4 linked regions of the Notamacropus eugenii genome follow. The protein of the gene in region 1 purifies or fractionates together with the protein of each later gene. This does not show direct contact. Links are inferred from orthologs where the notes say so. Each region holds a gene or a part of one and is shown in the gene's direction. Other genes may lie near its edges. The genes, in order: STAU1, PHB1, RPLP0 and YBX1.

Evidence for each region.
Region 2: the proteins of STAU1 (region 1) and PHB1 purify together in Homo sapiens (affinity purification with mass spectrometry; 3 studies listed by BioGRID). This does not show direct contact. The link is inferred for Notamacropus eugenii from reciprocal best matches to the Homo sapiens genes STAU1 and PHB1.
Region 3: the proteins of STAU1 (region 1) and RPLP0 purify together in Homo sapiens (affinity purification with mass spectrometry; 4 studies listed by BioGRID and IntAct, with this or other methods). This does not show direct contact. The link is inferred for Notamacropus eugenii from reciprocal best matches to the Homo sapiens genes STAU1 and RPLP0.
Region 4: the proteins of STAU1 (region 1) and YBX1 purify together in Homo sapiens (affinity purification with mass spectrometry; 3 studies listed by BioGRID and IntAct, with this or other methods). This does not show direct contact. The link is inferred for Notamacropus eugenii from reciprocal best matches to the Homo sapiens genes STAU1 and YBX1.

The regions. Positions count from the first base shown.
Region 1 is NC_092872.1:517,876,266-517,883,153, forward strand, and holds the start of STAU1 (double-stranded RNA-binding protein Staufen homolog 1), read left to right. Parts: upstream 1-3,887; 5' UTR 3,888-4,106; intron 4,107-4,392; exon of another isoform or gene 4,393-5,284; intron 5,285-6,888. UniProt on the Homo sapiens protein: Binds double-stranded RNA (regardless of the sequence) and tubulin.
Region 2 is NC_092873.1:351,425,162-351,432,068, forward strand, and holds the start of PHB1 (prohibitin 1), read left to right. Parts: upstream 1-3,899; 5' UTR 3,900-4,032; exon of another isoform or gene 4,033-4,077; intron 4,078-5,892; 5' UTR 5,893-5,931; coding exon 5,932-6,019; intron 6,020-6,907.
Region 3 is NC_092875.1:25,063,809-25,071,701, forward strand, and holds the start of RPLP0 (large ribosomal subunit protein uL10), read left to right. Parts: upstream 1-4,879; 5' UTR 4,880-4,996; intron 4,997-5,445; 5' UTR 5,446-5,493; coding exon 5,494-5,547; intron 5,548-6,493; coding exon 6,494-6,669; intron 6,670-6,759; coding exon 6,760-6,994; intron 6,995-7,269; coding exon 7,270-7,455; intron 7,456-7,779; coding exon 7,780-7,893.
Region 4 is NC_092876.1:74,521,948-74,529,863, reverse strand, and holds the start of YBX1 (Y-box-binding protein 1), read left to right. Parts: upstream 1-4,903; 5' UTR 4,904-5,685; coding exon 5,686-5,851; intron 5,852-6,503; coding exon 6,504-6,567; intron 6,568-7,916. UniProt on the Homo sapiens protein: DNA- and RNA-binding protein involved in various processes, such as translational repression, RNA stabilization, mRNA splicing, DNA repair and transcription regulation.

The DNA.
Region 1 (6,888 bases):
ATTACCAAGTTTTGTCAGTTCTACTTCCACTCACACATTCTCTCCACTCACATGACCATCAATTTAGTTTTTAGCACTAATCATCTCTCTGCTTCTAATTGTTCTCCATGTCTCCAATCTAGTCTCTCTCTCATGTCTCCTCCTTATAGCTGCCAAAATAATGTTCCCAAAGCACAGGTCTGACTAGGTCACTTTTCCTTGAGCAGGAAGTTTCATAAATTCCCTAACACCTCTGGGACAAAATGCAAATTCTTTTGTTTGACATTTAAAACCCTTCACAATCTAGACATCTCAATTACTTTTCCCTCCTCCTCATTCTCCACCGGCTACACAGTGTTCTGACCCACTTGGACTTCTTTATCACGCCATAATGCCCCAGGAACCTCATATGTAATTGGGAAATCTCATTATCTTGCAAAATCAAATTAGCCCTGGTATTTGCATCTCTTCAGTGCCATCTGCCCCTCTGACTGGAAGATGGAGCTAAAAGCTCCAAAAACACTCTTTTGAAAGAGGACCCAGGGCAATCAGTTCCTAATTTCCTACCAACAGCTCTGCTTTTGGATTTCACTGGTCTTCTCCATTATGCCCTCGAGCTTGGTACCTCCTTTCACCCTTTTTTGCTTATAAATACATCATTATATTATCCTATTTTCTTTTTTGAATTGTTATTGATATCGGGTTTTTACATCACCTTCATTTTCAAATATATCCCTCACCTCTGCCCTCTCCTAAGAGTTATCCCTTCTAACAAGGAATAAGACCAAAAAAAAAGCATTGCAACAAAACTAAGCAACACATTGACCAAGAGCTGCCAAAGTGATTTTCCTAAAGCGTAAGTTTGACCGTCTTGTGTCAATTCTTCATGACCCCATTTGGGATTTTCTTGGCAAAGACACTGGAGTGGTTTGCCATTTCCTTCTCCAGCTGATTTTACAGATAAGGAACCAAGGCAAAAAGGGTTAAGTGACTTTCCCAGGGTCACACAGCCAGCAAGTGTCTAAGTTTAGATTTGGCACTCTATTCACTCTGCCACCTAACTGCCCGACCATGTTACTCTACTTCTTAGTAAACTCTAGTGGCTTCCTATTGCTTCAAAGAAGAAATAAAATACTTTGGCATTTAAAGCACTTCACAATCTGGACCCAGCCTACTTTTCCAGGCTTATTATACATTTACTCCATTTCACGCACTCTACAATCCAACTAAACTGGCCTTCTTTCTACTCCTCATACACAAAACTTCAACACTACTCTGTCTCATTGTAACTGCTCTCCCTTACACCTTAGAATCTTTCCCCACATCTTAGAATGCCTAGAATCCTTTAAGATACAGGATCCCTCTAGATTTTTGGTGCCTTCCCCCTCTCCCAAAATTATCTTTCTCTATTTACATATATACTTGTTGTCTTTCCCTCATGCCAGACAAGGTCCTTGAGGGCAAGGACGGTTTCACTTTTTCTTTGTATTTCCACCATTTGGTATGTAGAATACATTTGTTAATTGACTGACAGAATATTAATTGTTACATATCCACAATTCCCCACCTCTGAAAAGAAGTGACAGAGACGCATTTTCCCATCTCTTTTGTAATGACCAGGTCTGATCATTACTATTAGTTTTAAATCTGGGGATTTATTTTGTCCTGTCTATTGTAGTCACTGTATACATTATTTTTCTGGTGTTTACTTCCTTTTGTGTCAGTTCATATATATCTTTCCATGCCTACCTATTACTAAATATTAATATCATCAGTTACAGATATTATTAACATTAACTAATAATTCTATAACATAATTAATATACTATTTATGTTGAATAATAATCATATTTATTTTATGGTGCACATGTTCCATTACATTCAATTTCCCAAACAATAAGCATCTATTTTGCTCCCAATTCTTAGCTATTGCCTAAAAGTGTTGGCATGGATATTTTGATGTGTTTAGGACCTTTCTATCTTGATTTCCTTGGGTATATACCTAGCAGTAGAATCTCTGGATAAAAGTCTATGAACATTTTAGACATTTTCATTGAATTATTCCAAATTACTCTGCTGTAACAGCAATATACAAAACAAAATATAATTTAAGTCCCACAAAAATACCATATAGCTTAAGTACCAAATGTTTCTTTTTAAACAAAAACAAAAGGTTTTTGTGATGTGGGAAACAATGGAAGAACTATGTGTTTTTGACACAACAAAAGTTTGAAAATCCTGAAATCAAACAAACAAAACAAGAATAGAAAATTGTGTCATTCCTGAGGCATCAGAAATTACCCAGGGTTCTCAATTAGATATCAGAGTAGAGCTTTTATTTATTAGAGTGTCAGCCAGGTCAGCCAATTCAAAGTAGGATCTACATCATTGAATTTGAATATTACTTGACTGTTTCCTCTTGACATCCAATTTAAATGTAATTAACATGAATTTACTGAGGATCTACCATAGCACTATGCCAAATATGCCACTTTCTGTGTGTTGTTGTGTTTGTCCTTTGTTCTGAAAGAGTACCATGACATCAAGATGATGACATGACTTGTAGTTAACTGTGATTTAAGTGAGGGAAGGCTGTGTGAGACCTTTCCTGGTCCCCTACCTTTCCCCTCAAGATTACCTTGAATTTGTCTTATATATGTGTTTTGTACACATAAAATGTATGGTTTCGTACATATATTTATATTGTCTCCAGGTTAAAATGTAAGCTCCTTGAGGGAAGAGACTGTTTCGATGTTTTTGCATCCCTAGCACCTAGTACACTGCCTGGTACATCCTTAGTATTTAATAAACGCTTGTTGACTGACTGCTATGATGAGAAATGATAAATCATATTCTTTACACTATAAAAATGGATTTTAATAAGTACGATTCTTAGCACGTGAAAGTAGTGAGGTAGGCCACTCATGTACTTAGAGTGAGGGAATAACCCAAGTGTTGCAACAGAATCCCGAAATACAAAAATCACCAACACAGAAGAAACATCCATAGCGTATTGGATAGATCCTTTAGGGAGGAATTATGGGAAGATATGTCCCAGAAACATGTAGAGGTGTTAAGAATGGAGATAGCCTATTTCACTTTCTATAAAAAATACAAAGGAGAGCATATGAAAAAAAGATGAGTGTAAATTGAAAAGTGAAAGTATGAAGCTAGAAACAACAATGTTGGAGAATAATAATTTCAGGGTGTGCTGCTGGAAAACCTAGGTTAAATACAGACTAAGTTAAAGTTGGTACAAACTATAGAGCATATTTATTTAACTTGCTTTTTTTTGGAGGACTGAAGGATTCTGCATATAAAGTCATCTATGATGTTAACTCCTGCTTCTCTATTTGGAGGAAAAAGGAAGGAAAGAAGGAAGGAAGAGGAGGAATTAAGGAAAGAGGAAGGAAGGAAGGAAAGAAGGAAGAAAGGGCCCTTTGGGATGGATCCTAGAGGCCGCCAGCGTTACCTGGGGGGTGAGAATGTGTGCCACCGAAGACCATGAGAAGGATGGTTATACCCATACATGTTGGCTGAGGTCTAAGTGAATGACACCAACCTGTTCCTGGACATTCTATCGGAGGTAACCCCTGCCTCTGCTTTTAAAAGGCTGTCACTTCCTGCCCGCTGTCCCTGAATTTGGGCCTGTGCATCCTGCGGGAACTACATCTCCCATCAGTCGAGAGCAAGAAGGGGTAGGTTAGGATAGCCCCCAGCAAAGGACCACACCTCAGCTTGATCGCGAAAGACAATTTTGATTCCCGACGTGGAGGGTAGTGGGTAGGGTTTCATGCAGTGCCTGCTGGGAATTGTAGTCTCCGTAGCAGGAGCTGCGCTGAACCTGCCGGGAATTGTAGTTTCAGTAATGGGGGGAGGGGATTGGGGAAGGAGGGGGGTCGGGCCCTGTCCCTCCCCCCCCGTCACTTCCTGCCTGGCTGCGGGAGCCCGAGCGGCTCATTCTCTTTAGTGTTTGCCCTGTGGCCGCAGCGTCTGGCTCGGCTTCCCCCTCCCTCCCTCCCCGATCCCCGGCGCCCGCCCCCCCACAGGCCATTCCGCCTCCCCTCCCCTCCTCACAACCACCGCCTAACCGATCCTTCGTCGGGGGACGAGTCCCGGGAATCCAGGTGAGGCGCTTCGGCCCAGCCCGTTGCAGCTTGGGGGAGGGCCTGGTGGGTGAGGGAGAGGCGGAGGGGACGGGAGACAGCTCCCCTGAGCCACCCCGGCCTAGCTCGGCCTGAGGAGGCGAGGCAACCGGCCGCTTCCAGCGTGCCTCGGCCGACAGGGCTGGGGACACCAGGCCGCTGAAGGAGTCAGCTTCCCTCCCCGGCCGGAGTGGGGAGGGGCTGCCGCCACCCCCTCCCCCAGGAAAGGCCTCAGTCCCTCCGCCCTCCTCGGGGCGGGGATCAGGCCTATTCTGGGAGAAGAGCCCTCAGCCTTCTCCTCCTGCCGCTGCCCCTCGCCGTCCTCCCGGGGTATGGGGGCTCGGGAGGCGCCGGTTCCTCCGCCGCCCCTTCTCCATCCTTGGTCTTTTTCTGCTTGATGCCCTTCCCCGCCTTTTCCCCAGAGGAACGGTGTTTGCTGCAGCCCCCGTCTCGCTGGGGACCCATGTCTGCTCCCCCCCAGCAGGCCCCTTCCTCCCTCTGCACCTTCTCGGCCTGAGGGACGTGCAACAGCCTTTTTAACCTGTTCTTTGCCACGGAGGGGAAGACCAGGCCCTTTTTAAGGCAGGAGCCCCTCGTAAGCTCCTCTCTTCCGGATTTTGCACACACACACTCCCCCCCCCCCCCAAACCCTAGCCCAGTTCTAAGGCTAGAGTGTTTATCTCTGAATGCCTAAAGAAATTTATTCTGACCCTTTCCCCTACTCCGCTGCCTGCCAGATTGTCCATGGAATGTTCGTTGAATTGTTGAAACTCCAGCAGTTTTTTATTGTTCTATGTCCCAATCTTCATTATCCTAAGGGAGAGGATAGACTGGTTCTGGGTTGTTTTTTTTAATCCTCCGAGCTTTCCTATATCAAATATGCCTTTCGTATTAGGGAGGAAGTTAGGTATGGTTCTGGTTCCTTGAAAGGAAGGAAACAGTAGTGGTATCAAACAAAGTTCTGAGCTGCCGCCCTCATACACCTGTGCACTTGGGGGAGAAATGCATTTTTCTGCAGGCAGTTGTGTTGAGGAGAAGACTATTTCAGTTTAAACTTATCCATGGCAACTGATGTGGATGTGAGAAATTCATCATCCCTCCGGTAGAAAGTATGTGGAACCAGCTGGTTATCATTTGGGGCCACAACCTGTAAGAGAAAGGTAATATTGCCATCCCGTATTTAGTAAGTAAATAGATTCAGTGGCTTATTTCCTTCCTTGTCCTTACTCCAAATTGCCTCGTCTTCTACTGTAATATAATCCAAACCTCTAACACCATACCTTTTTGCCAGCTCCTCTGCCCTCGTTTACTGATGCCTATTATAAGTCTGTGCACTTACCCATGTGGCAATATCATTCGTGTATGTAAGAGAATCTCTTCTATAAGGCCAAATATGTATGGCAGCCCAGTCATCTGTGGGTTTTTCTGGCAATGGGAAAAGCTTTAAGGTTTCAGGGACTTTGTTGTTTTTCTGTATGCTGTCGGATTGTCTTGATTGTTGTGAGTCTGCAGGAGAAAACTGATTTTAAGTTGTTCGTGTTATCTCTAGGTAATCAAAGTGAGATAAATTATACTAAGAGTTATTGAAAGTTAAAGTGGCTGGATTGCAGAGAGTAATTTTAGAGTTGACAGGTGAGATTTTAGTGTAGTAGGTTCATTTGTGCATGCTGAGTTTATTTTTAATTCAGAAGTTAAGTATACTGGTATATCTTGTACTAAGCAAACTGGATTGTGAAAACCCTGATTTACAGAAAAGATTAGGCAATACTTGTTTGTTCTATTAAAAAGTTCTTTTATATTATTTAAATTATTTAAATAGAATCCCTTAATTAAAATATTTGATTTACACATCACCTTAGAAACATCTTTTGCTTAATTTTATGAAGTTAGTACGTTGGACACTTGCCTATTATAGTTTGATACATTTATAAAGTCTTGTTATCCATTTCAATGTATTTTAAAATCGCTGTAAGTTTCCGAAGTGTTTAAACTATGAATCAGACAAATTACCTGTTGCCTTTTGTAAAGTGCACTGCTGCCACAAACAGCATTTTAAAATTGTATTTTAAAATTGATTTGGAATATAACTAATTTTTCCCAAGCTGTTATTCTCTCTAAAGTTACTCATTTTTATAATGAATGTATAAAGTTATCTTTTAGTTAGTAATTTGCAGTTGGTAATTATTTTATTTTGTGGGGTAAAAATTATTGTAATATACATTTTTATAGCCAAAATGGAGGTTTTGGTGAATTACATGTGAGGCAGGATTTAGATCATTTTTTTTTTTAAGATTACAAGCTATATTATTTGCGTATGAAACAGCAGTTTTTTCTTTGTGATACTAGTTTAAAAAAAAAATCAAACGTTGGATTTTTTCTTCCTGGTCTAATGGACATTTGTTAAACTATCTTTAATGGAAAATAACTTTTTGTGTCAAAGTTAAACTATGGTTAATAAGTTATGTGATGAAAAACTTTAAAAGGTTCTTTACTGTGGTTGTGCAAATATGCTGATGTAATTTTAGGTTAAGAATTAAGGAAAGAATATTCTGATTAGAAACTTTAAATTCTACTCTGGAGGATTTTTTTTTTTAAAAAAAAGCCTCATTACCCACTATACTTTTTAATAGTAAATTTAGTAATTTTGAAACCTTCTTGATTTTAGTAGACATGTAATACCAACGTAGCTATAGATGACAAGCAAATACTGCCCTCTGTAATTTTAAAAGATATTTATGTCATTTAGGGAAGTTGTTAAGAAACA
Region 2 (6,907 bases), on another chromosome or scaffold:
TTGGGGGAGGGAAGGGAGGGATGCCTTTGCATTTAAGTTGACTTGGCATAACTGAATACCATTTGTGACAATGGGCGTTGATTGTTTCTTGACCATTCTTTCCCACCCCTCTCTACTGCACCACGCCACCACCACTCCCCCTGTCACCTGCCCCCCCTCCCCCCACCAAATGAAGACTCATAGAATGTTACAGCTAAAAGGAACCTTTGAGATATGTGGTAGAGAAGGAAAGACACCCAAAGCCCAAAGACAACAGGGAGGAGAAGACCTCAGAAAGCTATTCCCATTGCTAACCACTCCACACTCTACTCCCAAGAGATACTTTTCCCCAACCAGTCCACTTGAGGACACTGGTTCCCCCTTGTGGTAATCTTCTGAATTATTATTTTTCCAACCCTATCTTGGATCCCAAGGCCCTGGGGTAAAGACCTATGTCAAGAGTGAGAAACCTGCCATCTCAAGGTCAAATGTGGCCCTCTAGGCCCCCAAGTGTGACCCTGTGACTGAATCCAGAATTCACAGAACAAATCCCCTTAATAAAAGGATTTGTTCTGTAAAACTTGTATTCAGTCAAAAAGCTACACCTGAGGCCTAGAAAGCCACATGTGACCTCAAGGCCGCAGGTTCCCCACCCCTGAATTTACTGCTAGTCCCATAAATCAAGTTTTCCTGTCTTCAGCTCTTTGACTCCCCCTGTACACCATCTATCTCTGCATGAGGTGGTTACCCATGCTGTGGCAGGAACAAAAAAACCAGAAAGTGTCAGAATTTCAAAGTTGGAAAAGACCTTGAAGCCCATTCTGTGCAAACCAGATGTGAAAAAAGGAAACTCTACAACATATTTGAGAAAGTCATCTGGCTTTTGCTTAAAGACCTCAAGGGAGGGTGAACCCACTTCTTCCTGGGTCAGACATTTGCAATTTTGGATCATATAATACTTGCAAAATTTTTCTTTGCATCAAGCCTAAAGTTATCCTCTGCAAGTTCCATTTTTCGCTTCTACTTCTGTCCTGGGTCCAAGCAGAAGTCTTTTTTCTTCCATATGACATCCCCTGAAAACTTGAAGACAGCTATCATGTCCCCTTCACCTCCACCCCAAGTCTTGTCTCCTCCAAGTTAAACAGTTTCAGTTCTTTCACCCTATGCTATTATGTGGTATGAACCCAGAGCACAGTGCCTGGCACACAGTAGGTATTTAATAAATGTTTATTGATCGACTGACTTATTGATGAACTCAAGTCCCGTTGCCATTTTCATTACCCTCTTCTAAACATATCAATCTATCAATGTCCTTCCAAACACATGATATCTGGAAAGAAATGTAATATGTCACATCAGGGGTTCTTTACCTTTTTTGTGTATTGTGGATCTCTTCGGCAGTCTGGTGAAACTTAGGGACTCCTTCTGAGGAAGTTTTTAAATGAATAAAATAAAACACACAGGATTGCAAATAAATCCAATTGTAGTGAAAACAAAGATGTATTTTTTTTCCCTGAAGTTGATGGACTCCACATTCAGAGTCCCTATTCTAAGAGATCTCCCTAGTCCTGGGCACTGTATGCTGCCTCACATCACATAAGCTTGGCCACCATATCACACTTGCAATATACAGCAGCTTGCAGTCCACTAAAACCCCCAGATCATGTTCAAACTGTTGTCTAGTCAAGTCTTGGTTTATTTGTGTACAGAGAGACGCCTGAAGCCTTGTGTTTAAGAGCTGGTTCCCTCCTTGGGTTTTTGCATGCCATAAATTTCTGGGCATCTTTCCCATTATTATTCTTTTTTTCCCTACACTGTCATTGAGCTCTATGGTAAATAGCTTGAGCAGATATATGTAGGCAGGTTTGGCTCCTCCTCCTTCCTTTTCAGTTTAAAGCCCTTTGATTAGATTTGCAATATTCCAGACACATTATTTTTTTTAATTGCTTTTCCAATTACATGTAAAAATAATTTTTAACATTTAAAAAAAGTTTTAGTTCCAAATGCTCTCCTCTCCTTCTTCCTCTTTCTCTTCATTGAGAAGGCAAACAATTTGATACAGGTTATACATGTGCAGTCATGCAAAACATATTTCCGTATCAGTTATGTTATCAAATCTATCTCTTTTTAAGTCCTTGCCTTCAATTGGTAGCAAGGATGAAAACGCCACCTATGCTCCTAAGACCTTCAATTTCTTGTCCCAAACTACAAAAACTTTAAAAATGCCTTCCAAGATTCCTTTAACAATATTATTTGGTGGCAGATGGGTGACAAAGTGGATAGAGTGCTGCCTTGGGGTCAAGAAGATGAGTTCAAACCCAGCCTCAGAAACTTAGCCATGTGACCCTGGGCAAGTCAATTTAATCTGTTTGCCTCAGTTTCCTCATCTGGAAAATGAGATAATAATAGCACATACCTCCTAGGGCTGTTGTGAAGATCAAATGAAATAATAATTTTAGAGCGCTAGCATAGTACCTGACACGTAGTAAGCACCATATAAATGGCAGCTGCTACAATTGTTTTTGTTATTATTGGCACCCACTAGGGTCATCAAAAGTGGGTAGTAATTACCTGGTTTGACACATCCTGTCTCAAGTCTATGCCCCAGGAAAATGACAAACTTCTGTTGTCATTACCAGTTTCATAAACAGCCCCTCAGTGAGTCCCCTCAGTGGAGGGGCACCCACCAGCACTACTCATCTCTTCTTCCTCGGACCCTCACCAAAGGCTCCCTCAACCGACCTCCTTCACAATATCCTTCCTAGAAATGGCTCGCAGCTCCCTGCCCTCCAGGAAGAGTCTCAAGACCGTTCAGGGGTCCTTCTTCTTCCCTTTTTCTCTATGTTACCATTTTTTTCTTCTTCCACCTCCTGACATAGGTCAGAATTCCCTCCTAACTATTTAGATCTTTCTTCTGTGCTTTCACATTGAAGGTCTTCTGAGTGGTCGACTTTTTCCATTTGTTTTAAACACTTTATCCTCCCTGATAGACTCCAGAGAGAAGAAGCATCCTCAGAGTGCCTTCACCTTCTCTTCCAGGAGGAGACCAGCCATCTGGCCTTTGGGGAAATACATCCAGCACACCACCAGATCCTCCCCTGCTCTGGAGCCTTGCTAGAACTGCAGTCTTCAGCGCTGAGCCCTCCTGGTGGCAAGCTCCTGGCGCAGCCTGCGGCTCCCAACGTGGGACCCGCTTTCCCTCTTTTGCGCCCAGATAGCCAGCTGGCCCGTAACTGACCTGGCCTTTATCTTGCCGTAACAACGTGTTTTACTCACTGGTCTATCTTAACTTATCTTACAGACTTCCTCCCTCAGCTCACACTCCATGCTTCTGCACATACACGAGACGGTAAAGCGCAGGAAGGTCCTCAGGCCCACCCAGGAATGCCTTTGAAACTCTTTATGCGCATGGCCAAAGAATACTACAACTCCACTGCTTCGGACTTAAGGTTCGCAGAAGCATTTGACCCCCACTACCCAAGCAAGGTGGACAGCATGAGGGGCCGCTAGGTGGCGTGGTACAGTACTGGGCCTGAGTCATCTTCCTGAGTTTACATCCAGCCTCAAACACTTACTAGCTGTGTGACCCTGGGCAAGTCATTCAACTCGGTTTGCCTCAGTTTCCTTCTCTGTAAAATGAGCTGGAGAAAGAAATGGCAAACCACTCCAATACCTTTGCCTAAAAAATCCCAAATGGTGTCACGAAAGGTTGGACACAACCAAAACGAGTCCGAAACAGCCCAGAGGTTACCTTCCCCTAAGGCAAGGACGCAGTAGACGCTTCCGGCGGCACGTGTAGTCATTCCAGGTGAACTACAACCCCAGCAGCCTTTGGGGCCAACTTCAACCGTCCAATAGAAAAGGATTTTCTTCACCAGCTTAAAAGCAGCGAGGCATACCGGGAGTTGTAGTTCCCTCTCATTAGAAGAATAGGGGCTCAGGACCAGTCTTGAACCACCAATCCCAGAAGGCGCCACTTTCCTATTAGCCAACAGGAGGAAAGGTCCTTCAGGAGGGGGCGGTGAAGGGAAGGCGAGACCCGACGCAGGCGCAGTAAGTAGGGTTGGGGAATTCATGTGGAGGTCAGAGTTGTGTCTGGTGAGCTAAGGGTTTGGGCCTTTGATAACTGTGTTGTCGTGCCCCACTCTCGCGCGTTCCCGTGGGATATTGAGGGGAGGGGGCTCGAGGAAAAGAGGAGGTAGTTGAGGAAGGAGAGGAGAGTAGAGGAGCTGAGAGCCAGAATGAGAGGAAGTGTGAAGAGTCTGAGGGAGGGAAAGAGTAGAGGAGGAGGCTGGGGGCGGGGAGGAATGGAGCGGGCAGACTGAGAGAGGGAAAGAGCAAGAATGGAGGGGGAGGGAAAGAGAAAAAATGGAGGGAGGAGGCTGAGAGAGGGAAAGATTGGAGGGGAGAGGGAGAGAGCAAGAATGGAGGGGGGAAGCTGAGGGAGGGAAAGAATGGAGGGGGAGGCTGAGAGGGAAAGAGCAAGAATGGAGGGGGGAGGCCAAGCTTAGTGTGATAATGGGGAAGATGGGAAAAAGGAAATGGTAGAGACATGGGAGTGGAAGGGGACTCCTAGGAGGCAACTAGAATTTGAAGGTTGGTAACCTAGTGTTAGTGAAAAAGACTTGAATTCTGAATCAGGCATAGCTTGAATCCTTTGGTTCTCAGTTAACTTATCTGTAAATGAGGAATTGAAGTTACTTTTGTCTTCGAGGTGTTTTTAGATGTACCGATTCAGAGTGGATAGAAAGGTTTCAAAGCCAGGACGATCATCTTTAAATTCTTTCTCTGATACATGCTGGCTTGTGTCCCTGGACCAGTCACCTAATTTCCCAGTGCTCTAGGCAAGTTGCAGAGAAGGTGCCAACCTGCATTGCTGGAAGTTTCCTTACACTATACCAGGCATTCTTGAACTTGCCATCCAAGGGTAATTTTACACAGGGTCTGTGAGCTTGAATAAGAAAAAAAATTTACATCTTTATTTTCATTAATCTCAAACTGAAATTTTATCATTTTCTTTTATTATGAATGTAGGCAATGAACATTTTGACCCATGGGCTTTACCAGATTTCCAAAAGGGTCCATTATATTAAAAAGAACCGTTGCTTATTACACTGGAGTTATAGGTCCTGTCTTATCCTTGTGCCCTATAGTTAGAAAATGTGTGCTCTTAACCCATGGAAGGGAGGGAGTTATATAGTATTGAGGGGAGGAAAAAAATGAGATGATCTCTACAGTTAAGTGAGATTTCTGGTTTCTGAGGTCTAGTTAATTTCTTTTGATCTCTGAGAAACTTTCCTAGCTTTCCAAGAATCTATTCCTACTTCTCACTTTTCCCCCCATGCTCCACTGTCATGCTGGCATCCATCCAGAGGACTTTTCTGTCCAGTCTTTCCTTTCTCTAATAACATGACATTCTCCATAGAGGAAAATGGTGTTGATAGCCCTACAGTCAGCATGGCATTGCACATTGATCTTCTCTTTTTAAAATACTGGAATGGTTTTTGATGAATTCCCCATACTCTCACCCCATCCCCACTGTGACCACTAGAATCTGTTTTTGATTTGTCAAGGAGGAAGGAACTTTAACAGTGTGAAGTTAAATGGTGTTGAAGACCAGCCCCATGACTGACCGTAGGTGTACGATGCCCTTCCTAGTGAACTACCTTTCCCAAACCAATCTCAGCCCCTACCCCTGTCATCAAGTGTTTGTAACTGAACATGAAAGCAGAGGAACCATAATTCATGGAATTTTTAAGGCTTTCTAGGGTGTTAACCTGTTTAGCTAAGGATGAGCAGAACCTTCAAGAAGATAGAAATCTTACCCTGATTAGAAGATGAATTCAGTGGTTGGGAATGAGTTTTCACTAGGGAATGTATGGGCCAGGCTAGCCTTTTGTTTTCTCCCTTTAGGTCTGAGAGAGCAGAAGACCAAGACCATCTGAAGGAGACATGGCTGCTAAGCTGTTTGAAGCTGTTGGCAAGTTTGGCCTGGGCTTAGCTGTTGTAGGAGGAGTTGTCAACTCTGCTTTATATAATGGTGAGGGCAGTCTCCCGACTCATACTAAGGGTTCCTGTTGTCCAATGTAACACTCCTGGTAGTAATCACTATCTATGAAAGTGGTTGTTTAATAAGACCACCTTTCCCATGCTGTGTATACCCACTGTTATGTTGGGGTTTGTTGCTGTTTAAAAAGACGTTGTACAACTTTTTAGACTTTTGTTCTTTGCACCCCTTGTTTACAGATGTCCCTGTCTTTGATGTTGCTACATTTTAAAAATCATGCTCTTCAGGAGTTAAAAGTATTTAATCAAGATAACTAACAGATATCACCGCCCTTCTACCTTGGGTGGAATGTCTCCGTAGGTGTCCCATGTAGTTTGGAACGGGGCGGGGGCCCTGTTAGATCCCCCAATTTGCAGTCAGGAAGCAGCAGAAAAGCATCCTTCTGGGTTTGCAGCTATAGGAATGAGGGAAGTTCTTCATGGCAACAGTGAGGTTTAAGTAGACATGCAAACACCTGTGGTTTCCAACAGTGTCAGAGGGCAACTTCCAAATGCCTGGGACGGTTTCTTTTGTGGTCCAGTAGCCACATCTATACACATGGATGGCATTCCTCACTAGACATGGTCTTTGATTTATGAGCATGGATATGTTGCTTTCCCAATAAGGCTTTGAGAAAAACAAGGCATGAGAAAATTAGAAGTGGAGGTTCTGAATTTCAGAGTTACCATCAAGAGTGCTGCTTTAACTGATGCTACACCTGAAAAGCATTCAGTTAAGTTGAAAGTGTGGCATATGACCCAGGTGGAGACTTTTTTTTTTTTTTTGGCAAATGTGGATTATGTGTTCCTGGAAATAGGCTCAAGGGAGCAAGGGAGAGAGTGGTTAATCACAAAATCAGCAATTTCATCTTCCAAGGAGAAA
Region 3 (7,893 bases), on another chromosome or scaffold:
CAGCCCTTTTCTGTCCTGTTTCTCCCAGGATCTGAGTGGCAGAGACTGTTGCTAATGGTTGCCACAGTGGTACATGTTGAAACTTCGCTTTATCATGGTGATGTCATTTTGGTCCTCTTTGAGAACGGACAGCCACCACCAACCTCCCCAGTGCCTGGTATACAGCAGGCACTTAATAATTGCTTGTTGGGTTGAACTGAGATGGCATTCAGAAAGCAGCCCAAGTGGTCCCAACAAACTTGAAAGAGAAGCATGGGCGGAGAAATTCTCCTCAAAGAGACTGTATGAGGTTGAACATCCTGACTCTGGGATGCTTCTTCTGAGTGTTCTAGGGATTCTCAATTCTATTGGGGTCTAATTAAGTCCTGGGAGAGTTGGACAGCAGTGTGTTTTCAAGGGCAGAGCCAGCCCTCTGGGCAAAAAGGATTTCGCAGATTCCATGGGCTTTCGTTCCACTCTCTGTCCTGGTTGCTCTTGGTGCAGGAGATCGATGTGGCTACAACTTCTCTCTCTTTTTAAAAAAATATTTTTATAGATTTTTTTGTTTGTTTTTACATCACATTCATTTCCAAGTCTTTCTCTCCCACCCAGTGAATCATCCTTTGTGAGGAATATTTACAAAGAAAGAAAAAAAGTAGGCCAACAAAACCCAAACTGACCTTGTTTGGCAGCATAGTACATAGTTATATGTATAGACACCAAGGTCATCTGCTGCACCCCGGGCCATCGCCGCTCATCTTGACTTTCATCCTGCCATTGGACTTAGATGACTCTGGAAGAGAGATTGAAGCTCACGACTTTGTGCCGCTCTGTGTCACTTAAATCCAATTCACTTTGGAGTCAAGACATAACCCCATAATGCCATTGGTCCTCTTGGAACAACAGCAAATATGACCGTCGTGATGCCTTGTCTATAAATCACCCCTTTCCCAAGGCAGCCCAACCTCTTTGGATCAGCTCTAAGTGTCCGGCAAGTTCTCCCTGAGGTGCAGACACAATTCACCTGTTTGCATTGCTGTCCCATCTACTCTCCGCTGCCAAACAGCAAATCTAACCCTGCTCCAGCCAGGTCACACCAGCTTGGAATCAGTTGTCAAATTTTCAGTGTGAGTATTGACACAAAACTGGAGACCCATAAGACCTTCAAGTCAGGGCTTGATTTATTTTGGTGATTGCCTAGACTTAAGAAAGCAAAGGACGAAAGGTTAATAATGCCGATTGAATTGAAAAGCATTTCATGCATACGTGAAACATTATTTTCTGGAGAGCCACTTGTTAAACATTTACCAGCATACCCCTGCTTCCTTCATATGTCAGCCTTTGAGTTGTGTGACACTAGACGTCATGGGCCCCTTTCTCCAGAATAAATAACCTGGGTTCGTTGCTTCAGTAGATCCCCATTTGGCAGGTGCTGGACTCCTCCCTCCCCATGCAGCAACTTCCTCCTTCTTGGCATTTCCTCTGTTAGGAATGGGATGAGACACCCAAGAGTCAGAGCCTCCAGCCTCCCGGGAAGTTTGCAGGCAGCCACGAGTCTCGGCGGTTGTAGTTTTTTAAGTAACCATGTGACCTGGCTCTCCTGAGGCCAGGGGTTTCTAAATGGAGCGCATATTTATCTGATCCCTTAGGACCGAGGAAGTTCCTTAGACTGGTATTGCCCTTGGGAGATTTCCCTTGGTGTGGGAGTGAAAGAGAGAGTGACAAGAAAAGAATGGGGAGAGTGAGGCAATAAAAGAGAATAGAGGGCAAAGAGGAGGGAGGGAGGGAGAGAGAGAGAGAGAGAGAGAGAGAGAGAGAGAGAGAGAGAGAGAGAGAGAGAGAGAGAGGCAGAAAAAGAAAGAAAAGGGAGAAAGTGAAAGGGAGAAAGGGAAACAGAAAAAAGGGAAAGAGAGAAAAAGAAAGAAAGAAAAAAGGATGAGAAAGAGAAAGGGAGAAAGGAAGACAAATAAAGAGAAAGGGAGAAAGAGAAATAAAGAGAAAGGGAGAAAGAGAAATAAAGAGAAAGAGAAACAGAAAGACAAAGAAAAAGAAAAAAGGGAGTGAAAACGAAAGGGAAAAGGAAAACAGAAAAAAGGGAAAGAGAAAGAGACAAAGAGAAAGAAGAAGGAAAGGGGGAAAGGAAGAGAAAGAGAAAGAAAAGAGGTAGAGAAAGAGAAAGGGAGAAAGGAAGAGAAAGAGAAAGAAAAGGGAGAGAAAGAGAAAGGGAAGGGAAGAAAAACAAAGAGAAAGAGAAAGGGAGAAAGAGAAAGAGAAGCAGAAAGACAAAGAAAGAGAAAGAGAAAAGGGAGTGAAAGAGAAAGGGAAAAGGAAAAAAGGGAGAGAAAGGGAAAGGGAGAAAGAAAGAGAAAGAAAAAGAAAAAAGGGAGAGAAAGGGAAAGGGAGAAAGAAAGAGAAAGAAAAAGAAAAAAGGGAGAGAAAGGGAAAGGGAGAAAGAAAGAACTGGGAAATAAATGCTTGGGAAGTTGTTAAATTTGGGTTAAAGTCCTACTGTGTGCTAGCTGTGAGGGGGGTAGGGGGAGATACAAAAATAAAAAAAAATAGTTCCTATCCTTAAGAAACTTCCATTCTATGGAGTGAAAGAACATGTACTAGAAGAAGTTAATGGAAAATATATGCAAAGAATATACAGATTTCGGAAGGGAGAAGTCACCAATAACTGGGAGAAATCTGGAGGGGCTTCAAGTCGGAGGTGTTCAGTTAAACCTTGAAGGGAACTAGGATTTCTAGGAGCAAGAGCTGGAGAGAGGGAGAAGGGGTGAAGGAGGAGGAGGGGGAAGGGGAGAAGAAGGGGGAGGGCAAAGAGAAGGGGGAGGGGATGGAGAGTAGGAGGGGTTGAGGAGGAAACACTAACATGGATGGTGTGTGTGTGTGTGTGTGTGTGTGTGTGTGTGTGTGTGTGTGTGTGTGTGTATGTGTGTGTATGTGTGTTCGTCCTTCGTTGCCAAAGAAGACCATCAGAGAAATAAAGACATGACTTGCACCTGACTGCTTTGAGTGAGGGAGGGCTGTGCAGGTCACCAGCCTCACTTCTCTTCCAGAGCCATCTGAATCCAGTGACCAGATATTCATCAGGATGACTAGAGATGACCCAGGATGAGGCAATTGGGGTTAAGTGACTTGCCCAAGGTCACACAGCTAGTGAGTGTCAAGTGTCTGAGGTGAGATTTGAACTCAGGTCCTCCTGACTTCTGCACTGGTGCTCTATCCACTGCACCACCTAGCTGCCCCAGCATGGATGGGGTGTGAAAAGGAGAGACATGAAATTGGATGGAAAGATAGGTTCAAACCAGATTTTGAGTAATACCTTAAATGTTCACCCTGCATCTCATCTCCAGAATCAGTCGGCAGGTCCACTCCATTTCTAGCCTCCATCTAGTCTCTCCAGCTCATCCAGTCTCTAGCTTAATCCACCATCTTTCCTGTGGATTGTAGCAATAGTTTCCTGCGTCCAGGATCTCCCCTCTCCAAACTCCCTTGTTCAAGGACCAAAATCATATTCCTAAAGCTCAGATGTCACCATGTGACGCCCCTGCTCACAAAGCTTCAGATTCCCTACTACCAAAGCGGGGTACACTCCCTCTCCACCCAAGACTCTCAAAATCCTTTAAGATTTTTAACTCCAGGGTCACCTCCTACAAGAAGCCTTCCCTGATTCCCCTGCTGTTCATGTACTATCTACTCTCAAATTATATTTGTCTTTTTAAACGCCTTATCCTCTTCATGTAACACTAGGTCCTTCAGGGGAAGGGCTGGTTTTTTGTCTTTGTGCCCATCTGAAGGGGATAGGAATGAGACCTGTTATTTCCTTCCTTTAAAGAACCTCTGCATCTTATATATGCAATATATATAAGATATATATTATATATATCCTTCTCTTCTTTTACCTGATCCATCTCTACAAGATATTTATCGATCCTGCCTTAGACTCCCCTTCAGTAGGGGACCTCCTATTTAAGGAGAAGGTTTCAGGCCAACCATATCATTATTCTTTTCTTGGATGTTTGCTATCCAGTCCATAAGACTTTTTCCACCATTCCTTAGTCCTGAGTGACTTTTCCTTCCCCTCCATCCCTTTTAAACAAATTATTTTCAATTCCTGGAAAAAACCAAGCATTTCCATAAGACGGTATGATAAAAAAGATGATTGCAAGTGAAACTGAAAATAAATAATTTAATGGATATTTGCCTACAGGATCAAATCCTTTCCCAATCCAGCTGCCTCCTCCCTTTTCCAGTCCCCCCCTGCACTCTTGGATCCTCCATCCCTCTGTCTCTGGGCTCTGGGTATTCTCTCCGGTCATCCCCCAGCCTGCCCTCCACCTTTCATGGGAAGCTTTCCCCAGCCCCTGGGAGCTCTCTGGCCTTCCTATTTATCCTATAGGTGGTTTGAGGGCAGGGACTGTCTCTTTTTGTATCCTCAGTGCCTGGTACTGTAGGCACTTAATAAATGCTGATTAGAACTGAACGGACTGATTTACCCAGGGCCACAGTCACCATGCCAATCAAGGGAAATGAACCCAGGACTTGCCTGAGGCCAAGGCTCTATCCTCATGACCTGATCCAGCTTCTTTCATGAACGTACCAAGCTCTTAAAGAATGCTTTTTAATTCATTTTCACTTTATTCAAGCCCAGTGCCTGGTATACAGCAGGCGCTTAATAAAGCTAGGAGGTAGCTTTGCTTTTTTGCACAGTCTCTCTGAGTAGCACCGAGGGAGTGCCTGGAGATCCCAGGCCGGGCCAGCAGGGGGCGCCAACGGATTTTTGCTTCTCTTTTTCTGAGATGCGGGAGACTCTTCTTGAGAAGAGGCCCACCCCACACCGAGCGGCCGCCCTAACGTCCAATGGAGGCCTAGATCGCTCCCCGCTCTCCGCACGGGCGGCGACGTCCGCCAATGGGAGCGAGCTTCGTGCGCGGGCGCAGTTTGGCTGCGCCGCTCGCTATAAAAGGCCCGCGGAGGCGTGCGGCCGCTCTCTCCCCAGGCGTCCTCGTGCAAGGTGGGTGCTATGGCGGCTGTGGGTCCACGGCAGGCGGAGGGCCTCGGCCGGGGGCCTGGATTTTACCGAGGGAGGTGCCGGAGCCCGGGCCCGGCTGGGGCAGCCCCACGTCGGGGGAGTCACGGAGGCCCGAGAGGCCGCGGGCCGGGGCCTGCGGGGCCAGCGTGGGAGGGCGGGGGGAGAGGGGACGTGGCCGCCCGGCCTAGCCAGCGCTGCCGTGGGGGGCGGGGAAGCGGGCCTTCTCCGGGCCTTGAGCCCGCTGGAGTGGAGGCGAGGGGCGCGTGTCCGCGTCCGTGTCCGTGTCCGCGTCCGTGGGGGCGGGGAAGCGGGCCTTCTCCGGGCCTTGAGCCCGCTGGAGTGGAGGCGAGGGGCGCGTGTCCGCGTCCGTGTCCGTGGGGGCGCCGGGGTGGGGGCGGGGCCCTCCGTGACCGACCCTGCTTCCTTCGCAGAGACATCGTCTTTAAACCCCGCGTGGCAATCCCTGAAGCACCGCCGAGATGCCCAGGGAAGACAGGGCTACCTGGAAGTCCAATTACTTCCTGAAGATCATCGTAAGTCACGCGCGGGCTCAAATAATAAGTGAGGAAAGCTTAGGAAGCGAGGTTCTCCCCAGGGACGGCCCGGAGTGGACACGGACTCGCGTGTATCTTGTGGGTTTGTCCAGATCGCGATTGTGGCCGTGTCACCAACACAAAATTGTGCTTCAGTCCAGCCTTATGTTAGTTTAGATGTGCGTGTTCTCTGCCCACTTGAAAGCTGCGTGGAAGCCGTGGGAGGAGGCAGCCCTGGTTAGGAACAAACTGCATTTTCTGGCGTATTTTAAGAGGCTCTTTTAGCTTTCCTGACAGGTTACTTTTGATTTTTAAGGTCACTTAACTTGGAATTTACGTCCAGACAAGTTTAACTGTTGACCATTCGTTTTGACAGGAGATGGTTGTCAGGGAGTTTTTGGTGGGCACCAGTAAGTTTTTAAAAAGGAAATCATTTGGGTAGTTCAGAAGCTAACTCTTTAGTAGTAAGATGTAATTCTGAATTGATTGCTTGTGTCCCATTTCCTCTCGATATAAAAGCGATCATGAGTGGTCCCCTGGGATCTGGACAAGGCGTTTTGGCGGTGTTTTACGTCCTCGGTGCTAGGATATCAGAATTACTTGGGGCCATCTCCATTTGGCCTGACAGCTGGACAAAGGTGGCTCTGGAGGAAAGAATGAGGCTGGCGACTTTGCACAGCTCTCTCTCTCCCTTAAATCCAGTTCACTTGTAAGTTGTGACATCGCCTTTAGTCTTCTGAAACAAAGGACGAACACGACCAACCAATAATCAGAGTTAGAAGAGACCTGGAAATGATGCGGTAGAGGGAGCCCCAGATGTGTGAAGATTTGTGAGATCTGAGTTTCAATTAAGTTTCTGCTCCTTAATACCTTGTGACTGAGGATCTGAATCTTTTCTTTCTTCGTATCTGACCTTTAACATCTATTTTTGGTGCTTGCTTTATAGCAACTTTTGGATGATTATCCAAAATGCTTCATTGTGGGAGCAGACAATGTGGGCTCCAAGCAGATGCAGCAGATTCGGATGTCCCTCCGTGGAAAGGCCGTCGTATTGATGGGAAAGAACACCATGATGCGCAAAGCCATTCGTGGTCATCTGGAGAACAACCCTGCCTTGGAGAAGTAAGTGCAGTGTCTTGGGGGTGCTCTCTTTATTTCTTACTTTACGAGGCCAAGGTGAGGGTGAGCTAACTGGAGTGACTTTTCTTTCAGGCTGCTGCCTCATATTCGGGGGAATGTGGGCTTTGTGTTCACCAAGGAGGATCTGACTGAGATTAGGGATATGCTTCTGGCCAATAAGGTGCCAGCTGCTGCCCGTGCTGGTGCCATTGCCCCATGTGATGTCACTGTGCCCGCCCAGAACACTGGTCTGGGTCCCGAGAAGACTTCCTTCTTCCAGGCTCTGGGTATCACCACCAAGATTTCCAGGGGCACCATTGAAATCTTGGTGAGTGTAGTTGGCTGTATGGGTATTAATAATCCCCTTTTGAATACTTAGCTGTGGAGCTGTGGGACTGTGGTTCAGTCTCGGAAGCCTCCTGAACCCTAAGGGTGGATGGTGCTAAATACTTAGAGACACACCTGGGTCAGGGGATGTTGGGAAGATCCAGGGCGAGCCCAGTGCGCTCTTTCAGCTCATCCTGATGTTCGCTGCTGGTATTAGTCTGAGGCATCCTGGGCATCCTTGCTGCCTCTGGGCTGACTTTTTTCTTGTTTTTTCAGAGTGATGTGCAGCTCATTAAGACTGGAGACAAAGTGGGTGCCAGTGAGGCCACTTTGTTGAATATGCTGAACATTTCCCCGTTCTCCTTTGGGCTGATCATTCAGCAAGTGTTTGACAATGGCAGCATCTACAACCCTGAAGTGCTGGACATCACGGAGGAGACTTTGCACCTTCGGTTCTTAGAGGTGGGAGCTGATGGGCTGGGTACTATTCTCATGAGGGGTTTGAATGGAAGCTGGTTGACTTTATGAATGTAAAGATGGGAAGCCAACAGGGTCATTGGGATGGGAGGCTGCAAAGCGTGATGGGAATTCTGCTGAACTGAAGATAGTTGGCCCTGGGACTGGTGTGTGTCCAGAGAGGTGACTTCTACCTGTCCAAAGTTTAGGGTAGGCTGCAGAACTGGCACCCCAGCAGCAGAAGAGTGAACATGCTTCTACCATGTCTGATCCCATGGGGCTCTAGAAAGTCAGGATTGCCACCAGATAATCACATCTCTTTGTCCACAGGGTGTCCGTAATGTTGCCAGCGTCTGTCTGCAGATTGGCTACCCAACTGTTGCATCAGTACCCCACTCAATCATCAATGGGTACAAGCGAGTCTTGGCTGTAGCTGTGGAGACG
Region 4 (7,916 bases), on another chromosome or scaffold:
GATTCTCAACTCTCCTTTTCCATCTCTAACCTCTCAAAGACCTGATCATTGAACGGAGGTCAGGATGAGACAGACAGATACACAAACATTGATGGCCCAGAGGGGAGAGAGATAGGTCTCAAAGCCCTGGGAGAGTGGGAGAAATGTGACAAGGAAGAGATCACTTGTGTATTTATGTGTCTGGGTATTGAGGAGTTATCAGGGAAGGCTCCAGAGGAGAAACTTCACCTTTAATTATCTCAATAGTCTCGAATATTCTTATTTATCCACTGACCTCTCTGCTGGCTTCCTATCTTGCATCTTAAACCTTCAGACATTTTGGAAATTGTATGTTCAGTAGATGTCTTAAACTCAACATGTCCAAGACAGAATTCATTATCTTTTCCTCTAAACCAGGGGTATGGAACTTGCAGCCTCAAGGCTATATGTGGCCTTCTAGGTCCTTAGGTTTGGCCTTTTGACTGAGTCCAATTTTTATGGAACAAATCCTTTTATTAAGAGAATTTGTTCTGTGACGTTTAGATTCAACCAAAGAGAACCACGTGTGACCTCGAGGTGGTAGGTTCCCCACCCCTGTCCTAAACCCTCCCTTCCAAACTAACCTGTTGCTACAAGAGCACCACCATCCTCAGTCCCTCAGACTTCCAACCTAGGAGTTATCCTGGACCCCTCACTGTCTCTCGCAGTCCTCCTCCCCTGCCATATCCAAGTTATTTCCAAGGCTTTTGGATTTCACCTTTGCAACCTCTCTTTGCATATGCATCCTTTTCTCTCCTCTGACACTGCTATCCCTTCTAGTGCAAGCCCTCATGCCAAGACTATTATCATAGCTGCTGGTGGGTCTGCCTGCCTCCAGTCTCTTCCCCACACCATCCCATCATCCATTCGGCCACTAACATGATTTTCCTATAACTCAGGTCTGATGATGTTACCTTCATACTCCACAAACTCCAGTGACTCCCTGTCATCTCCAGGATCAATTACAAAGTCCTCGGGTATTCCAAGTCCTTCCTAACCTCGCTCTCCCCCCCATTTTTCCAGTTTTCTATCTGCAATCCCCAAGTATTCTTTAGTCCAGTGACATTGACCTCCTGAATGTTCCTCAAACAAGACGCTCCATCTCTTAGCTCTGGGCATTTTCGCTGTGCCCAGAATGCTCTCTCCTCATGTCCACCGACAAGCCTTCCCTGCCTTCCTTTGAGCTCCAGCTAAAATCCCAACTGCTACAGGAAGCTTTTCTGAACCCTTCGTATTTGTGGCACCTTCTCACTATTTCCCATTTATCCTCAGATGTTGCTTGTTTACTACTTGTCTTTTCCAGTTACATTGTGAACTCCTTGAGGGCAGGTGACTGACTATCTTTTGCCTTTCTTTGTATCCCTAGAACTTGGCACAGTGCTTATTTTAATAAGCCCAGGCACTTAATGCTTATTGACGGACCTCAGTTGGGCCATGAAGGGACAGGAAGACTTTGGGCAACATAAGAACTGATGTTTCTGTATGCACTTCACATACATTATCATATCTGCGTGTCACCGTGGCCCTACTAGATTTTACAAGTATTAGGCCCACCTTACAGATAAAGAAACTGAAGTTCTATGACTGACCCATGATCCCAGAATAGTAAGTGTTGAAGTGGGTTTGGAACCTCAGTCCAGTGCTGTTTCTACCTGGTGAAAACTTTCACAAAGCAAGTCCTTTCCTTCTGTAGGAATCAGCTGCTTCCTCCGTCAAGAGCAAGGCTACTAGATGATCTCTCAGATACACTTTTTCTCTGGATCCTAGGAGCCTGTGGTAGCCTACTTGCTCTCTCTCTTCATGGGCCCTTGACCATTCTTACACTTAGGCTTATCTCCTATTTCAGGCTCATTAAAAAGGCCACACCTGCCAGACTGAACATGTCTGAGCCCTTGGGCCACTGGGCAGCTTACTGAGAGAAGGAATCCCTTATTTTTCCAATAATGAAAAAGCTCGCCAGAGGCAGAGGAGGTTCTGGTTGCTCTCAGTTGGCATCCGGAGTTGCTAGGAGAACAGAATTAATGCCTGCAGCACCTTGTTTTGAGGTACTGGAAGAACCAGAAGACAAGCAGCCTCTCTGATGATGCTGCCGGTCTGGGCAGATTCCCTTCCATTTACCTTTCTGCACCTGCCTCCAATTCTTGGAAATAATGTCTAGGTCGATATTGGGCCTGGGGTGGTGGGGATTTCATGTGAAAATACTGGTCCTGGGCACACCGGAGGTTGGGCATTTGTTCACCAAATAAATACTTGCTTGCCGGAGGTAGAATTCTAGAACATGTGGATGGGAAGGAAAGTCATCTGACCCTCTCCTTTGTTGTGCAAATGGGTAAACTGAAGTCCAGAACTAGGCAATGACTTTTCCTTCCATATATTTAATGAGGGACTGGACTTGAATCCAGGTCTCCTGCCTCCTGGAGCAGAATATTATACCAAACTGCCTTGCCACATAGTAAGAAGCCCTGAATCAAGGGTCTGCTCTTGGAGGTTATTTTGGGTTCAGGCCAGGCCTGCTGGTTGGATTAAGATCCAAGAGGGCTTAGCCAGACCTCACTTTGGGCATTATACAGTTCAAAGACAAATATTTTCAAAATTCTGAAGCAAGCGCAGCGATTTGGATCCTGACACAGGCCTAGCCTGTGCCCCAGATCCAGCCAGCCCCGCCCTGCAGTGCAAATAGCAGCCATTACCATGGGCAAGAGATGTTTGTTCTGCGTTTTACAAAGGCTGAAGGGCCACTTTTTAGCCCACTTTGCTGGGCTCCAGAATTCAAACTTGAACCTCCAGGGTTATTCCAAAGCGGTTAGAAGTGTGGAGGTAAGAAGGAACTGATCCCAGCAGTCTGCCTTGATTGAGTGATTGCTGGGTACATGGCCACCTGGGCGAAGGGAAGGGAAGGGTGGAGCCGTTCCTTTCGCTTTTCCTGCCCCTCCCACAGGATCTAACTCTGACTCCAGTCCTGGGGCTTTTTGCTAGAGTTTGCTGAAGTTCTCACCCTAAGCCCTGCAAAGTTTTAGCCCAATTCAGCTCTGCCTAACCCTAGGATTTCCCTCTGGCAGGAGTACTTCTATTATTTTCCCTACTCAGGCAGGTCACAGAGGTACCTGATAATAGTTGTTAATAACAGTTCGGGACTCTTAAAAAAGGACTCCCAACAACATACCTTATCCTATTTGTCACCCACTGCAGATAGCAGGGTCCCCATTTTGCAGATGAAGAAACTAAACTTAGAAAAGTTTGATTTGTCCAGAGGCTCATAGTGACTTAGCACAGGGCCAGGGTTGGGCCTTCCTCTTATGACTCCTAAGGTCAGTATCCTTTTCCACCACTTCATTTAGAGTTGGCCAGGTTCATCCCATCTGTTCAGAATTGTTTCCTTGCTTTGGCCTCCACAGAAGTCCGTGTTTCTCTTGTTTTAGGCTCCCTTTGCCCCAGTGATGCTTCTGAGAAGATGGGTTGGCCTTCCACCTTGCTTCCTTGGTTACTGCCTGCCTTTGTGATCAAGAGATAGGACCTGTCATGGATTCAGGACCCCAAGCCTTTCATTTTTAAATTTGCAACTGTAAATAAAGCTTGTGTTTTGGTTGTCTTTTTTTAAAAAAACTCTATCTAAGGTGAGCCTCAGTCTGTTCACTCTGGCTAAGCTAGACCTGCTGGGATGACTGTGGTTTCACCTCCTAGCTAGCATCTTTCTCTTTCCTAGGCAGTGCTGCACATAACTATGGAACATAGCTGAACTGAGGAAGGGGACAGCTGGTAGAAATGTGTGTTCCAGGCAGGTGGTCAGTTTTCTCCCATTCCTACTGCTTTTCTCCTGTTTGATCCTTTAGCTGAGGGACTATGACAATAATAGAGGAAGATTCAAGAGAGGAATGAATTCCAAAGGAATGTAGTAAGCTTAGGATTTTAGGAAGTTGTGTCAAGTATGCTGTTGTCCTCCGGACAAAGGAGGCAATTTCTCTGTATGCCTACCTTTAAGAGCAAGGAAAAGGGCCAGGGTCTGAGTAAAGAAGCTGCTGGTGATAGGATGAAAATTAGCTGGAATAGTTTGGGAGGCCTTGGCCTCAGCAGTCTGCAATAAAACAACCAGGTCAAAACTTGTGCGCTGGTCTCCTGCTGTACTTGGGGTACAGTAACTCACCAAATTACCAGCAGCTGACAGTGTCAGAGCTAGGGCAGTTAAAAGTCCCCTACCACCCCGCCTCACACCTGCCCTTCCAGCCCTCACAGGGGCAAGGAGCCTGCTTCCTTTCTATCCTCCATCGCACCAGTAGCACCTGCAGTGGCTAACCATGCCTTCTGGTCAGCGTGTGGGTTCCTATTTTCAAAAAGTAGGATCTAGATTTAAACCAGTAGGCCATTTGCAAATAAATTGGCCTTCAAAGTAATTACTTTGGTGACGTGTGCTTGCCTAGTCCTTCATCAAGGCTTCTCTTGCTCAAAACCTGTCTGGATCTCCAAGGATTGCCTTGGGGGCCAGTTTTTTGATGCACACAAAAATCCCTTTACGGACACATCTTGCGCATGAACAAAAAAGCCTTGCCCTGCCACGCCCCCCTCACCAGTTTTGCTGCCAGACAATTAGGGTTGGGGGCTGCAGGAGAAGGTCCACTATTCTATCTACAACACACTGGGGAGGGTGAGCTCACGACCCCAAGGGGCGGCGCTTTTATCTGCCGTTGACGATTAGGAAACTGCCCCCTTCCACCCGCCACTGCCCTCCCAGCCTCCTGCCAGGCTGGGCTAGGCTGAACAAATCCCGTTCCTGCACGTGACGGCCGAGAGGAAGGCGATCACTTTCCTCCTCATTCTGGCCATTATCAAAAATAAAGTTCATCGTAGGATTTCTCTCCACGATGTTCATCCCTATATCTGGGCATTTCCCTAATATAATTAAAGGAAAACTGCTGCCTGACGCTTAATAGGAAAGGGCTCAGCGTTGTTCGTGTCACAAGATAAATGGCCGAATTAGAAAAAGAAATAAAATCCACAATCGGGGGCCCCTGGGTGCCCGCAGCCGGCCATGTGGACCCCGGAGGCGGACGGCCGAGGTGTCATGTAGACAATTTTGCCCCCCCCCTCACTTCCGGGGATGGTGGGGCGTGAACCCGGAGCAACTCTCTCCCCTTTACCCTAGTCGATCCCGAGCGCTCTATGCCGGCCCAGTCAACCAACCTCGACCCAGCTCGCCGACCAGAGCGCTCGGGACTAGGCTGGGCTTGCACTACACCACGCTCCGAGTCACGTTCCCTCTGCCCGCCCTCTCGGGTACTCTATGGTTCAGCAGGGGCTTCACTCTAGTTCTAGTTCCGGTCTCGGTGGCGGCGGCGGCGGAGGCTGGAATTGCTAGTAAGTTGGACAAATTACACTTCCGAGAGCCAATGAGAGCGGGGGAGTGATGCGCCCCTAGCCAATGAGAGCTGGCGCTTCTGGTCAGGTGGCGGATTGATGGCATTTTGAGCCAATGAGCGGAGCATAAGGCGGGTCGCTCGGAGGGCTTATCCCGCCCGTCCCGCCATTCTCGCTAGTTCGATCGGTAGCGGGAGCGGAGAGCGGACCCCAGAGAGCCCTGAGAGCAGCCCCACCGCCGCCGCCGGCCTAGTCACCATCACACCCCGGGAGGAGCCGCCGCTGCCGCAGCAGGCCCCAGTCACCATCACCGCAACAATGAGCAGCGAGGCCGAGACCCAGCAGCCGCCCGCCGCCCCCCCCGCCGCCCCCGCCCTCAGCACCGCCGATACCAAGCCCGGCATCACCGGCAGCGGCGGAGGGAGCGGCGGTCCCGGCGGCCTCACATCGGCGGCGCCCGCCGGCGGGGACAAGAAGGTCATCGGTGAGGGGCATGGTCCGGGCCCGGCCAAGCCCGGGGCCGGTGGGGACGGTGGGGGGGGACCGTTAGCCGAGGGGGGTGCGGCGCGCGGCATGGATTCCGCGCGCTGCCGCCGCCCTCACCTCCTCCCCTTCCTCTCCCTCCCTCTGCGCGCGCCGGCCGAGTGTCCTCGTGCCCAGGGCGCCGCGCCCGCGCGCCGCCTCCCGCGCCCCCTATGGACCCCCGCGCGCCGCCGCCGCCGCCGCGCGCCCACCCGCCCGCCCCTCTCCCCTCGCGCGCTGGCCGCCGCGTGTGTAACGGTTTCCCGGCCTCGGGCCCTCCCGGGCGGCCACGCGCCCCACGGGCGAGCTGGCCAGCGCCGTGGTGCGGGTCCCCTCCCCTTCCTGCACGCTCTCCCTCCCTTCCGCGTGTAGACCGAGGGCGCGGTGCCCGCCCCTCCCGCCGCCGGCCTCCGCAGGCCGGGCGGGGGCCGGCGCGCGCCTTCCCCTCACGTGCTCGCAGGGCTCTTGCGGCCTTCCCGGCGGCTGCGCCCGGGTCCGGCGGCACCCCCCCGAAGGCCGCGGGCCGGGCGGCGGGGCTGGGGGGAGGGGCCGGGCCTCGGCGGGGCTCCGGGCATTTCTTTTGTAACCTTGGATTCCTTCTTTTTTTCTCCCAGCAACGAAGGTTTTGGGAACAGTAAAATGGTTCAATGTAAGAAACGGCTATGGTTTCATCAACAGGTGAGAGAAAGCTAGAGCCGCTCCGCCCTGCCCCCGCATGCGTCCTGGCCCACGCTTGCCACCCCTGACGCGGCCCGGGCCGTGGGTTCGAGTGGTCACTGCCGGGGACCGCAGAGCCGCGGGCCGGCAGCCTCGTGCGTGGGTGGTTTTGGTAACAGTTGTGTCTGAACACGGACTGTAGCAGTCCGACGTGTTCTCGGTTCGAGTGGTAAGTCGGTAGCGGTGGAGGAGCCCTCGCTGGAGGAGCTTGTCTCTTACTGTAGCACATGGAGCAGAATCCGCACAGTAGAAATCCCACCCAGTTGAAAATGTCAGAACCTCCTGAAAAGTCTTCCTGAAGGATTCCCCTTGTTCTGGTTCAAATAAATATGTTATCGTGATACATTTTTTTTTTTAATAACATAATCTTTGTGAGGATGGTGTTCAGAGACCTAACTAACATTGCATCCAATTAACCTTTTTGGAAGGGGGGTAGTCTTGGGTTTGTGGTGCAGTAACGTAGTGAATTACTACATATTATAGCAGGGTTCAGCTGTCTACATAATTTGGAGTAATTCAGATTGAGGCTAACCAAATTTAATATAAAATGTTTTTTCTTTAAAAAATTTTTAGCTTTTCCAGTTTATATTTGTTTTCCCTGTTGTAGCAGCGTACGTTGGTGCTCTTGTTCCCTTTCTTTGTCTGACTCTAGGACCAGCAGTAGGGTGAAATTACTAAGGAAAATGGCAAAATAACCATTTTTTCCAAAACTACAAATAATAGTCTTCTAACTTTTGCTAAATCTTCAACAACTGTAGAGCCTTTCTGATTCTGCAGCTTGGGGAAGTTGAGGCGTGGGCTATAGAATTTTGATTTGAGGTAATGTATTGTCCACTTAGTATACAAAGGTGAAGGAATTGACCTATTTGGGGACAGGAGCTAGGTGGCTCCTGGAGTCAGGAAGACAGTTAAAATCTGACCTGACATTTAATAGTTGAGTGATCCTGGACAAGTCACTTGACCCCTATTGGCCTTGTTTTCCTTATCTGCAAAAGGGAATACTAATGGCATGTGCCTCATAGAGTTACTACGAGGATGAACTGTGAGATCATTGTCAAGTCCTTATACAGTACTTGACACACACACACACACACACACATACATGTATACTTTATGTAAGATAAGCACTATATAAAATTTAGCTATTAATGTTGTTTTATTATTGCTATTAGTGTAGGATACCTCCCTTGAATTTTTTCTAGTAATGGAGGCAGCTATCATGTAGTAGAAAGGGAATGGATTCAAATGCCATCTGTGCTACTGTGTAGTAGTTTGTTTTGGAGGCCCATCTCCTTTCTAGATCTCCATTT